Linked DNA regions of Caenorhabditis elegans. The protein of the gene in region 1 purifies or fractionates together with the protein of each later gene. This does not show direct contact. Each region holds a gene or a part of one and is shown on either strand. Other genes may lie near its edges.

What was found. The genes of interacting proteins can lie anywhere in the genome.
Region 2: the proteins of Y23H5B.5 (region 1) and eif-1.A fractionate together in Caenorhabditis elegans (co-fractionation; one large-scale study listed by BioGRID). This does not show direct contact.

Annotation. Positions count from the first base shown.
Region 1 is NC_003279.8:2,495,385-2,501,826, reverse strand, and holds the start of Y23H5B.5 (U3 small nucleolar RNA-associated protein 15 homolog), read right to left. Parts: upstream 3,694-6,442; 5' UTR 3,692-3,693; coding exon 3,400-3,691; intron 1,856-3,399; coding exon 1,420-1,855; intron 1-1,419. Other genes in the region: ddx-10 (ATP-dependent RNA helicase), read right to left, coding at 4,566-5,159.
Region 2 is NC_003282.8:4,808,444-4,813,375, reverse strand, and holds eif-1.A (Eukaryotic translation initiation factor 4C), read right to left. Parts: upstream 2,443-4,932; 5' UTR 2,441-2,442; coding exon 2,341-2,440; intron 2,294-2,340; coding exon 2,009-2,293; intron 1,962-2,008; coding exon 1,696-1,961; 3' UTR 1,393-1,695; downstream 1-1,392. Other genes in the region: srw-95 (G-protein coupled receptors family 1 profile domain-containing protein), read right to left, coding at 1-189, 267-393, 441-719, 881-1,099, 1,147-1,247; H06H21.37 (uncharacterized protein), read left to right, coding at 3,412-3,585, 3,681-3,828, 3,879-3,892; ubxn-6 (UBX domain-containing protein 6), read left to right, coding at 3,889-4,425, 4,908-4,932.

The DNA of each region.
Region 1 (6,442 bases):
AATTGCCGGTTTTCCGAATTTGCCGGAAATTGTCGATTCCGGCAAGTTGCTGAATTTTCAATTCCGGCAATTTGTTGAATTTGCCGGAATTTTTAATTTCCGGCAAATTGCCGGTTTGCCGAATTTGCCAGGTTTTTTTTTGGGATTTTTTTTTGCCAGAAATTTTTAAATTTCAATTCCGGTCAATTGGCGAACTTGCCGGAAATTTTTAATTCTGGCAAATTGCCGATTTGCCGGAAATTTTCAATTCCGGAAAACTGCAGGTTTTCCGAATTTGCCGGGTTTTTTAAAAACTTTTTTTTTGCCGGAAATTTTAAATTCCGGCAAGTTGCTGATTTTGCCGAAAATTCTCGGCAATTGCCAATTTTTCAAATTTGCCGAAAATTTTCAATACCGGCAAGTTGCCGAACTTGCCAGAAATTTTCCATTCCGGCAAATTGCGGAATTTGCCCAAATTTTAAATTTCGGCAAATTGTAGAATTTTCCGGAAGTTCTCATTTCCGGCAAATTGCCAAGTTTGCCGAATTTTTTTCAATTTTTTTTTGCTGGAAATTTTTAAATTTCAATTCCGGCAGATTGCCGAATTTGCAGGAAATTTTTTTGCTCAATTTGCCAGAAGCTTTTAATTCCGGCAAGTTGCCGATTCGTCAAATTTGCCGGAAATTTTCCATTCCGGGAAATTGCCGGTAGCCAAAGTTTCCGAAATTTTTAAATTCCGGCAAGTTGCCGTATTTGTCGGAAACTTTAAATTCCGGCAAACTGCCTAATTTGCCGGAAATTTTCAATACCGGCAAGTTACCGATTTGCCGAAAAATATTAATTCCGGCAAATTGCAGGTTTGCCGAATTTGCAGGAATTTTTTTTGCTCAATTTGCCAGAAACTTTCAATTCCGGCATGTTGTCGAACGAAATTGCCGAAAATTTTCCGATCCAGCAATTTGTTACACTACCGGATTTTTTAATAATTTTTTTGCCGGAAATTTTAAAATTCAGGCAAATTTTCGAATTTGCAGGAAATTTTCCATTCCGGCAAATTCGCCAAATTGCCGGAAATTTCTAATTCTGGCAAGTTGTCGAACTTGCCGAAATTTAACAATTCTGGCAATTGCCGTTTTGCCGACAAATTCGCCAAATTGCCGGAAACATTCAATCCCGGCAAATCGCCAAATTTGCCAGAAATTTTCGATTCCGGCAAATTGCTGAATTCACCAGAAATTTTCAATCCCGACAAATTGCCAAATTGCCGAAAATGTTCAATGCCGGCAAATCGGCAAATTTGCATATATGGCCTGAAAACGGCAGTTTTTGAAGGAAAATCTTCAAAAAAAAATTTTTTTTGCTCGTGTTTTTGACGTTTTCAAGCATTTTTGCTCAAGTTTTCACTGAATTTTTGCACTTTTTCAGCTTCCAACTACTCACTTAACAATAGGACCTGCAGCAGTGGCAATAAGCTGCTCTCCAGGCAAAAAGAGCACCGATTCAACAGGATGCTCGCAATCGAGTTCCAATGATTTCTCTTTACTTCTAATATCCCATAGCCGAACTTTATGATCATAACCACCAGTCAGTACAATATGATCATTAATTGATGAAACTGCTCCACATCTAATCGCATCTTCATGTGCTTGAATTTCAATTATTGGAACGGCATTTACTCCGTAAGCCGTGTCTGCCACTCGATATTGCTTGATTTTTCCGTCATCGGCCATTGAGAAGACAGTATCACCACGTGGAGAGAAATGAACACTTTTCACAGTTGACTGAGAAGCTTGCATTACACGAAGAGCAACTTTACTCGAGCCCGTCGTTTTTTCCACGTCAAAGATGCGAACTTTTCCCTCGTCACCTCCGATTGCTGGAAAATTAGATTTATATTTGGAAATTTTCCAATTAAAGGAGGGGACTAACGGTTCGGACGATTTTGAACGTATAGGCCCGAAATGAGCTCAAATGAATGAATTTCGTAATGAAACTGCTCAACATTTTTTCAAAAATTTTTTATGGCGGTTCAAAAAATTGGAAAAAAATTTGACTGATTTTTGCTAAAATCTCCAATTTTGCCCATTTTTCTGTGCTACATCTGTCCGAAGTTCGTTCATTTTTTTTGAAATTATCATCCTTTATTGCATATATTGGTAGTTTATCTCATTTAATTTCGTCGATTAAAGTATATTTAAAGCCGATAGGTAACCAATTTTGATGATTTTTGGTTACCTATCGGCTTTAAATTTACTTTAATCGACGAAATTAAATGAGATAAACTACCAATATATGCAATAAAGGATGATAATTCCGAAAAAGTCAACTTCGGACAAATGTGACACCAAAAAATAGGCAAAATTCGAGATTTTAGCTAAAATCAGTGTAATTTTTTCGAAATTTTGAACCGCCATAAAAATTTTAGAAAATTTTTTGAGAAATTTCATTAAGAAATTCGTTCATTTGAGCTCATTTCGGGTCTATACGTTCAAAATCGTCCGAACCGTTAGTCCTCCTTTAAAGGATTACTGTAGTTTTCGCTACGAGACCCTATTTTGCGCGTAAAATATGTTGTGCAATACGCATTCTCAGAAAGCGTTTTTTTCGGCATTTAATTAAATGTAAAAAAATTGTCGGCTTTCGATCCGAATATTTTCGAAAATTTGAGAGAAAACTTTATTTTTTCAGTATATATTTTTTAAATCGGATTCTAAAAATTTCCGAATTTTTATCAAAAATTAGTGGCGTTTTGGTTGGTTTTTACTTCTTTTTTGAAAATTGTGTGTCAAAAAATATGTAAATTAAATTTTTTTCTTGATATTTCTCTGAATATTTTTCATAAAATTATATTTTTTTTCCAATTCTTGCAATTTTTCTAAAATAGTTTTTCTCAAAATTTGGTTTCAAAAAATCCCGAATTTGTCATTTTTCAAAGGTTTTTTGTGGGTTTTGCCAGATTTTTTATATGTGAATAAATTTTTTTAATTCAAAAACTAGCAAAATTATTGAAATTTGCATTGAAAATCGGGATTTTCCTCAAATTTTAAGCATTTTTAAAGAGGAATTTTTTATTGAAATTTGGATTTTTTCAATTTTTTAGTGGAAAAACGCTAGAAAATCGATGATAAAATTTTTTCTGAAATTTTTCGTAAGAAAAATGTTTTTTGGACATTTAAAGTTTAAAAAGGTGAGAAGTCGAAAAAAAAAATTTGCAATATAAATTATTGTTTTCTAGAATCGGTGTTTTAAAAAATCTCAAATTTGTCTTTTTTTTCGGGTTTTGCCCTGTGAATTTTTTTTTGAAAAATGTCAAAATTTTTATAATTTTCGAACTCAAATTTTTTTTGGAATTTTTCACTGAAAAACGCTTTTTCTAGAATTTTCGCGATTTTTCTCCATTTTTCCAGCTAATTTGCTCACCCAAAAGCCGTCCATCATGTCTAAAATCAATAGAGCATACTCCTTTTTTGAATCTACTAAATAGGTTCAATGGTTCACAGACTACTGTATCGTAGAGTGTTAGACGGACACTGCTAGTCGTTGCCACGTGATACGGCTTTTTCGGTGAAATTCTGACGGAGCTGACGACGGCTGGCTCCTGGAATACGGTGAGTTGTTGCATTCGTTTCCAATAAATGACATCTTCGTCCAAAAGAATTGTCTCTTGTTTTCTGGAGAGAAATTTCTCTGCGGGGAGGTATGGTTGAGCCATTTCTGGAAAAAAAACAATTTTTTTTGAGGGAAAATTCTGAAAAAAACTGTGAATATTGAGAGAAAATTGAAGAAAAAAGTTTCTTTTGAAGATCAAATTTGCCGGAAGTTTTGAATTCCGGGAAATTGCCGAATTTGCCAGAAACTTTCTTATCTGGCACACTGCCGAATTTGCCGGAAATTTTCAATTCCGGCAATTTTTTTCCAGAATTGGTTTCAAAAAACCTTTAAAAATTCTCAATTTGCAAATTTTTGATTGAAATTCGAGAAGAAAAATTGGAGATTTGTGAAAATCGAGAAGTTTCTTTTTTTCAAAAAAACGTGAAATTTTGTTATTTTGCAATTTTCTTTGTCTTAATTCGATAGATGCTGAAAAAAAACCAATTTTTGTAAACTTTAAACTTAAAAAATGGCTTAAATTTCGCTATTTTTTGCTGAATTTTAAGATTTTTGCCCGAAAAAATACCAATTTTTGGGTTTAAAATTAATTTTGAATCAAATTCTGATACCACAAAAGTGAATTTTCTTTTAATTTCGCAAAAAAAAGTACATTACTCGTGCGTTAAATTCAATTTTCTCGAAGCATAAGTCAAAAAAGCGTCTTAATTTTCGCAATTTTTCTTTTCAATTTTTAAAAATGGTTTTTTTTTCTGATTTTTGACCTGAAACATTTTGAACAATTTTAAAATTTTAAAAAAGATATAAAAATGTGCATGATAACACCAAAAGTAACAAAAAACGAGGAAAAAATCAAATAAATTCAACATTTTCTTTGGAAAACTGAAGAAAAACTCAAGAAACTCAAAAAAAAGAATGAATAACAAGTAACAACTCAAAAACAATCTAAAAAAACCGAAAAAACAATAAAATTTAAATTATTTCCTCCCAAGAGCCGCAAGAGCCTGTTGCTCCAAATCTTCCACCTCATCCGGCTCCTCCTCATACTTCCTTCTAACCGCATCCGGATCCGGGAGCCACGAGATATCCGGCTCATCCTCACTTCCATCCTCATCATACTCCACAGCTTCTTCCTCCTCAGCTCTCCGATTCTTCTTCGCAAGCTTCTCCTGTCTCCGTTGCTCGCGGAGCAGCTTGAACCTTTTCCGATCCTCCTTATCGCCACTTTTGATCTCCTGCCGGGCTTTTTCAATATCCAAACCATAGGAGGTGATAGTTGAGGGGCCTTCTTCGAGCTCTTCGAGCTCATCATCTTCTGCTCCAAATGTCTTTTTCGTGTTAACTTTAAGCTTTTTGTTGAGGATTTTCTTCGCCGCCGACACTTTTGTCACTGCTTTTTTGAGCGGTTTCGTCTTGGAAATGGTGATATTTGAGATCTTTTCAGCGGCTTCTTCTTCCTTGATCTGCTCAGGCTCTCCTGTAGGCTTTTTCACTGTGAATATATCCTCATCGTCCTCATCAATTGCGAATTTTCCAACTAGGGAAGCTTCTTCTTCTTCTTCTTTTACTTCCTGCAAAATGTTAAAATTGAAAATTTTATTGCAAAAAATGAAAAAAATAAGGTAAAAAAATAAGAAAAACCGCGCCGCACGGTTGCAAAATTACGCTCCGCCTTTTTTTCTGTGCGGCGCTGCTGATTTTTGCAAAATTTACGAGACCCGACCACGCCCATAAAACCATGCGGAAAATTCAAATTTTGCATACTCCGCACGGTTTCGGGAACAAAAATCGTGGCCACGCACGCCCATTTTTCCGTGCGGCACGAAAAAATGGGCGTGGTCTTGGTTTTCTTTTCACCAGTTCTCCTATCGGTGGTGCCTCGAATTTTGTGCCCAAAACCGTGCGGGGGTAGCAAATTTTGGTTTTTTTCCGCACGGTTTTATGGGCGTGGCCAATCTCCCAGCAGCGTCGTATAGAAAAAGAGGCGGAGCGTAATTTCGCAGCCCTGCGGCACGGTTTTTTTCGAGGATTTTACTCAATAAAGTTTCGATTTTACTTGGTTTATATCGGGAAAAAAAACAGTGTCACACGGTTGCAAAATTAGGCTCCGCCTCTTTTTCTGTGTGACACTGCTAGGGAGATTGACCACACCCATAGAAACGTGCGGGTTGCAAAATTATAATTTTCGGCTCGGTTTTATAGGCGTGGTCAATCTCCCCAACATCTTCGCACAGAAAAAGAGGCGGAGCGTAATTTTGCAAGACTGTGGCACGGTTTTTTTTTCCTTTTTTTTCAAAAAAATTTCGATTTTTCCAAATGAAAATATTATCCAATTTAATTCTTTAAAAAATCTTATAAGAATTCAATTGGACAACATTTTCATTCGGAAAAAACGAAAATTTATCGAAAAAAAAAAATCAAAAAAGGTGAAAAACCGTGCCGCAGGGCTGCGAAATTACGCTCCGCCTCTTTTTCTATACGACGCTGCTGGGAGATTGGCCACGCCCATAAAACCGTGCGGAAAAAAACCAAAATTTGCTACCCCCGTACGGTTTTGGGCACAAAATTCGAGGCACCACCGATAGGAGAACTGGTGAAAAGAAAACCAAGACCACGCCCATTTTTTCGTGCCGCACGGAAAAATGGGCGTGCGTGGCCACGATTTTTGTTCCCGAAACCGTGCGGAGTATGCAAAATTTGAATTTTCCGCATGGTTTTATGGGCGTGGTCGGCCGGGTCTCGTAAATTTTGCAAAAATCAGCAGCGCCGCACAGAAAAAGAGGCGGAGCGTAATTTTGCAACCGTGCGGCGCGCGGTTTTTCTTATTTTTTTACCTTATTTTTTCATTTTTTGC
Region 2 (4,932 bases), on another chromosome or scaffold:
AATAAGAAATGTAGAAGCTGTTATAAATACGACTAGCCCCGTGGTTCTTTCTGTACTGGCAACTGACTGGGTTTCATTGATAATTACTGGTCTTATAGTTAAATTTAACATTCTCTGGTGATCCTTGGCTTTTTTGAGTTCGACAATAAGCATATAGGTTAGAACTGGAAGCAGAAAACATGGAAACAGCTGAAAATTATTTTTATTTTTAGGAACCAAAAATTAGTTCTTGGTTAATTGCTTTAGTAAAAACAAAATTATCCCACTTTGGAAATTGTTCCATTAATCAATTGATATACTTTTCCTACAAGTCCATCGTTAGCCTGGTAGACTTTGGATTGTACCAAAGTGAAGATAACACGAGATTCTGGATAACTCGTTGCAAATGTGCAACTGAAAGTGTATTTTTAATTAGGCAAAGGTTGTTAAATCTGGATTACTTATTCATAGGCTTCCAGTCTCCAATTTTAACGATATCGTATCGGAAATAATATATTACAGTTAATGGAATGCTTGATAACAACGTTCCAATAACTAAAGTGAATCCGAATTTGGGAAAATTAACTTTTCGAAATGCTCTTCTCGTTGAAAACTTCAAGACGATCAGTCTGATTGTGGCCATAACTACGCTGAGCCACGTGGATGTTCGACGGAACAAATCATTAATTACTACATTGATCCAGTACATATAAAAGAATGAAAGTGGTGCAGGTGGTTCACTGGAAGTGGAAAGATGAGTTGATTTAACATCGGGTTACAAAAGTCAAGTACTGTTTACTACGTGATCTCTTTAACTACGATTTAACCACATAGATCTTTTACTACGTTGGGTTACTGTAGTAGTACTGTGGAACTAAGCTTTTGAATAAATGTACTTTACCAGGGTTTCACATTAAATTCCAAAATCAAATAAAGATAGTTATAAATAATAGAGACAAACATCACTAATATATCACAAATAGCGATTCCTATCATTATCAAGATTACGGACGATTTTAACATTGAATTTCGAGATAAAACGAATAAATGGAATGATGTTGTAAAAATCCCAATTGATGAAATTACAATATTAATGATTATTGATGGATGGACAAACTTTCTGGAATTTGACGGTAATATTACGGGATTTTCAAAGCTAAAACTTGCTCAACAGCTATAAGAAAGAAATATAAATCAATTCTAGTCGCATTATCATAGCTGGGAAATGCAGAAGTTGATAAGTTATAAAGAAGCACTCTGTCAATCATTTCATTCAAATTCAGCTTAAAATAACTGAAATAAATAATTTTTACTATATGAATACACGTGGCCGCGAGTTGTGACATTTTGATGCAAATGTTTCACCTGCTTTTCGGTTTGAAGGTCGAGAGTTGTGTGCTGCTTTAAACCCATAACAAGAAAAGTTTATCAGAAAACAATATAAATGAAAGGAAAATAGTGGAATACGGGATAATTTGCAATAAATGAGTTGTTTCATCAAGTGGTGTCCGATGGACCGAAACCTTGAGGTTGTGTTGATCATCGGACACCACAATCGAATTATTTCACTTTGTAGCATTCAAGTAACGGAATTTCGGGAGACAGAGAAGATGGGAAGATAATGTCTGAAAAGGATCGAAAGAGAAACAATGGATTTTTAGGGGGAGAAAGAACAGAAACCGGGGGAAACAATTAAAAACCAATAATTTAATCAATTTAGCGTCTCTTTCCGTACTTGTTCTTGCCACCACGATTTCCGCCGCGACGAGTGTCCTCTTTAAATCCACGACCAGCTGCCAAGTCCTCTTCCCGAATATTGTCCGAATCATCTGAATCTTCGTCTGATTCCTCTTCAGAATCATCGTCCGATTCTTCTTCCTTATCCGATCCTGCCTCTTCGTCAGACTTCTCCGAATCACTGTCTGATGAATCTGAGTCAGACTTTGCTTCTCCGGCCTCTCCCTCGTCTCCGACGTGATCCACTGAAAAAAAATTGAACTTCATTAATTTTCAGCAAAAATAAACTTACAGAACTCAACCTCTCCCTCGTCTTGTTCATCGTTCTCATTGAGCTTGGCGTTTTCTGGGATAAGTCCCTCGTTCTTCAAACGGCGAGCTTCATCTGGGGTGTACTTCAGAATAACATCTCCCTTGTCGTCTTGATAATCTCGGAGACCGACGAGAATGATATCTCCCACGTTGATCCAAACCTTCTTCCTCAACTTTCCACGAATATGGCAGACACGCTGCTTTCCATCAAAACAGAACACTTGAACACGACCGTTACCAAGCATTTTTGAGACTTGTCCATATTCTGGAATTAATGCTTTTGTTTTTCGGGAAAGAAGTTATAAAATCTACCTTGTCCCTCCTCCTTGAGGTCGAGCTCGCGCTTCATGAAGTCGTTCTCATTCTTTCCTCTTCTGCGATTCTTTCCTCCCTTTCCCTTATTCTTCGGCATTGCTGAAAATATTACGAAATAATTTGGAAAGTTGAAGTTACGAGAAATACAGAAGCAAAGAGGACTGCAAAAATTGTAGAAAAAACAAGAACATAAATATGCATAAGGTAATGTCAGATTTCAATGGAATTTAACAAAAAATTAAGAAGAATGAGTATACTATCCCAAAATAAACAGTTTGCTTGGATTTCGTGAGTATTTTGATGAAAAGTGATTTCTAAAAATTGGAAATAATAATTTTATCAGCGCTTGAGATTAAAATTATGTCGTCAATCGACAAAAATAAACAAAATAACAGAAGAAAAATTTCAATGAAAAATCGACGAAAATGTGGAGTGCACAGAAAAGTGGGCGGGGTTTGCTATCGCAAGAGCGCGGCGCGAGGTTACGTAACTGCGGACTTGGCGACACAATTTACGACACTCGCTATTTTTATTTTTTATTTTGCTTATTTTTTATTTTTCTCTCTAAAATTTTGTTGTTTTAACGAATTGTTTTCGGAAAAAAGTTATTCAGAATCAAAGATTACTTCATAGAATATAATTATTGTCCAAAATATAAAAGAATTGTAAGATAAACATCTCAAAACGAACATTTAACCGCAAAAACGTATTTTGGGAAAACAATCACAAACTTTTCACGCAAAAGTGTTTTACCTACATTTTTTTGTAGTTTATTAAGTCACAAAATTAACGACATCATGAAAAATACAGCAGATAATATTTTTCTGTCCGAAAGCTTTCCCCAGTTTAGTTTTCTCCAATAGAAAAACTCCAAGTTTTTTATAGCGTTTTCGAGATGAGCTTTTTTTCAAATTTTCTGAAATGAAGTTTGAAGTTTGTATACAACCCAAAATATATGTTTATCACCGTGCAATATCACAAATGTCGTCATCGCCTTCTGTCCTATTTCGCAATCATTAATTTCCGCAAATCTCTCTGAAAAAGAACTACAATTCCAGCTATTCTTGCATGGGAGAGCCTCTGGTCGCCGAGCCGACAACTGAGCAGACTCCGTTGAGCACAAATTCAGTTGCTTATCAGAGCTCCGACGCGCTTCCAGATTCCTCAGAAGCATTCGGAGTAGAAAACGTTTATCGTGCTTTGATTATCTTCTGTGATAATTATTCGTTGGATAAAAAACAAGTGCGTTAGAGAACATGTTTTTGAGATTTTCGAAATTTTAACGTGAATTATTGTTCTTGTTTCTGTCTAAAATGGCCAAAATTTGAAAATTTCAGGTAGCTCTCGGACTCTTTCTTTCTATTCTACTTTTCATCTTCTCTGTTGGCACTATCATTGCGTGGAATCGATATTCACCAATCATTCAGGAGTTTATCATAAGAGAGAACATTGAGAAAGCGAGAAATAAGAGCAACGAAAAAAATAGTAAGATATTTAACAAGTTCTGCACTGATAACCATTCCAATTTATTTCAGAGAAAGAAGAATGAATAGTTTCAAGAAATTCCTCAACAAAAAGCGAGTCCAGAATCACTTCAAAAAGAGCGGTGAAGGTGTTCGTTTGTCATCCGGCGAGTCATCTTCGCAGCCTTCTGCCCACGCTGGAGCCGCCCAGGGAGGCCAAATTGATCGTGTCGCGGCCGCTGATATTGCTGCTCAGGCTGCTTTCAAACGGATGCAGAAGAATGAACCTCAACAAAATGCTGGAAAACGAAGAATTCAAATGATTGCAAAACGAGAGCTGGAAGAAGAGAGACGTCAGGTTGAAGATCTCAACATTTCTGGGACTTCATCACTGCAGCAACCCGACCGTGAGCAACACCTCGAGCATTCATCCGCAATATCACGTGTTCTCTACACTTCCGAGTTGCTCGGTGAGCATCATATTCGCTCGAAAGCAGATCTTCTTGAAGATATCAAAAATTTCCTTTCTGATCAGATCAGCGAGGCGGATGATGAAAACGATAAAGTGATTGCCGCAGTTTTGATGCTCTATTCACTTAATAAGAAACATCCCAAGGAGGTTTGTGTATGCTCAGAATTTCAAAATATCGAAAAAAAATGAACTCATTCTGGCTAAAATCTCCAATTTTGTCAACTTTTGTGTGTTGCAGCGGTCGGAAAATGTTTTTTAATCTATTGTAATAGTTTCTCACATGTTATAATAACGTTATTTCGTTATTTAGCCAATTTGATCATTTTTAGCTAACAATAGGCTAAAAAAGTTACTTTGTTAACGGAATATTTCGGCAAATTGAAGAGTTTCGCTAAAATTTGCCCGTTTTTTTTTTCTCAAAATTTTGAACCGCCATCATAGTTTTTGTGACATTTTTGTCACATTACCGTTGAAATTAAACTATCTATCCGCAAATTTCGCAAAAATCAGCGTCGCACAGAAAGAAAAAATCAACACGGATTTTTGTAAATCTGCGAATCGGTCGTTTCACCTAAACTGTACGAAATTCGTTGTTTTGGTAGAAAAACAAACAATCTTCTAAATTTCAGACTGCCATCGAAACAATCTGCAAGT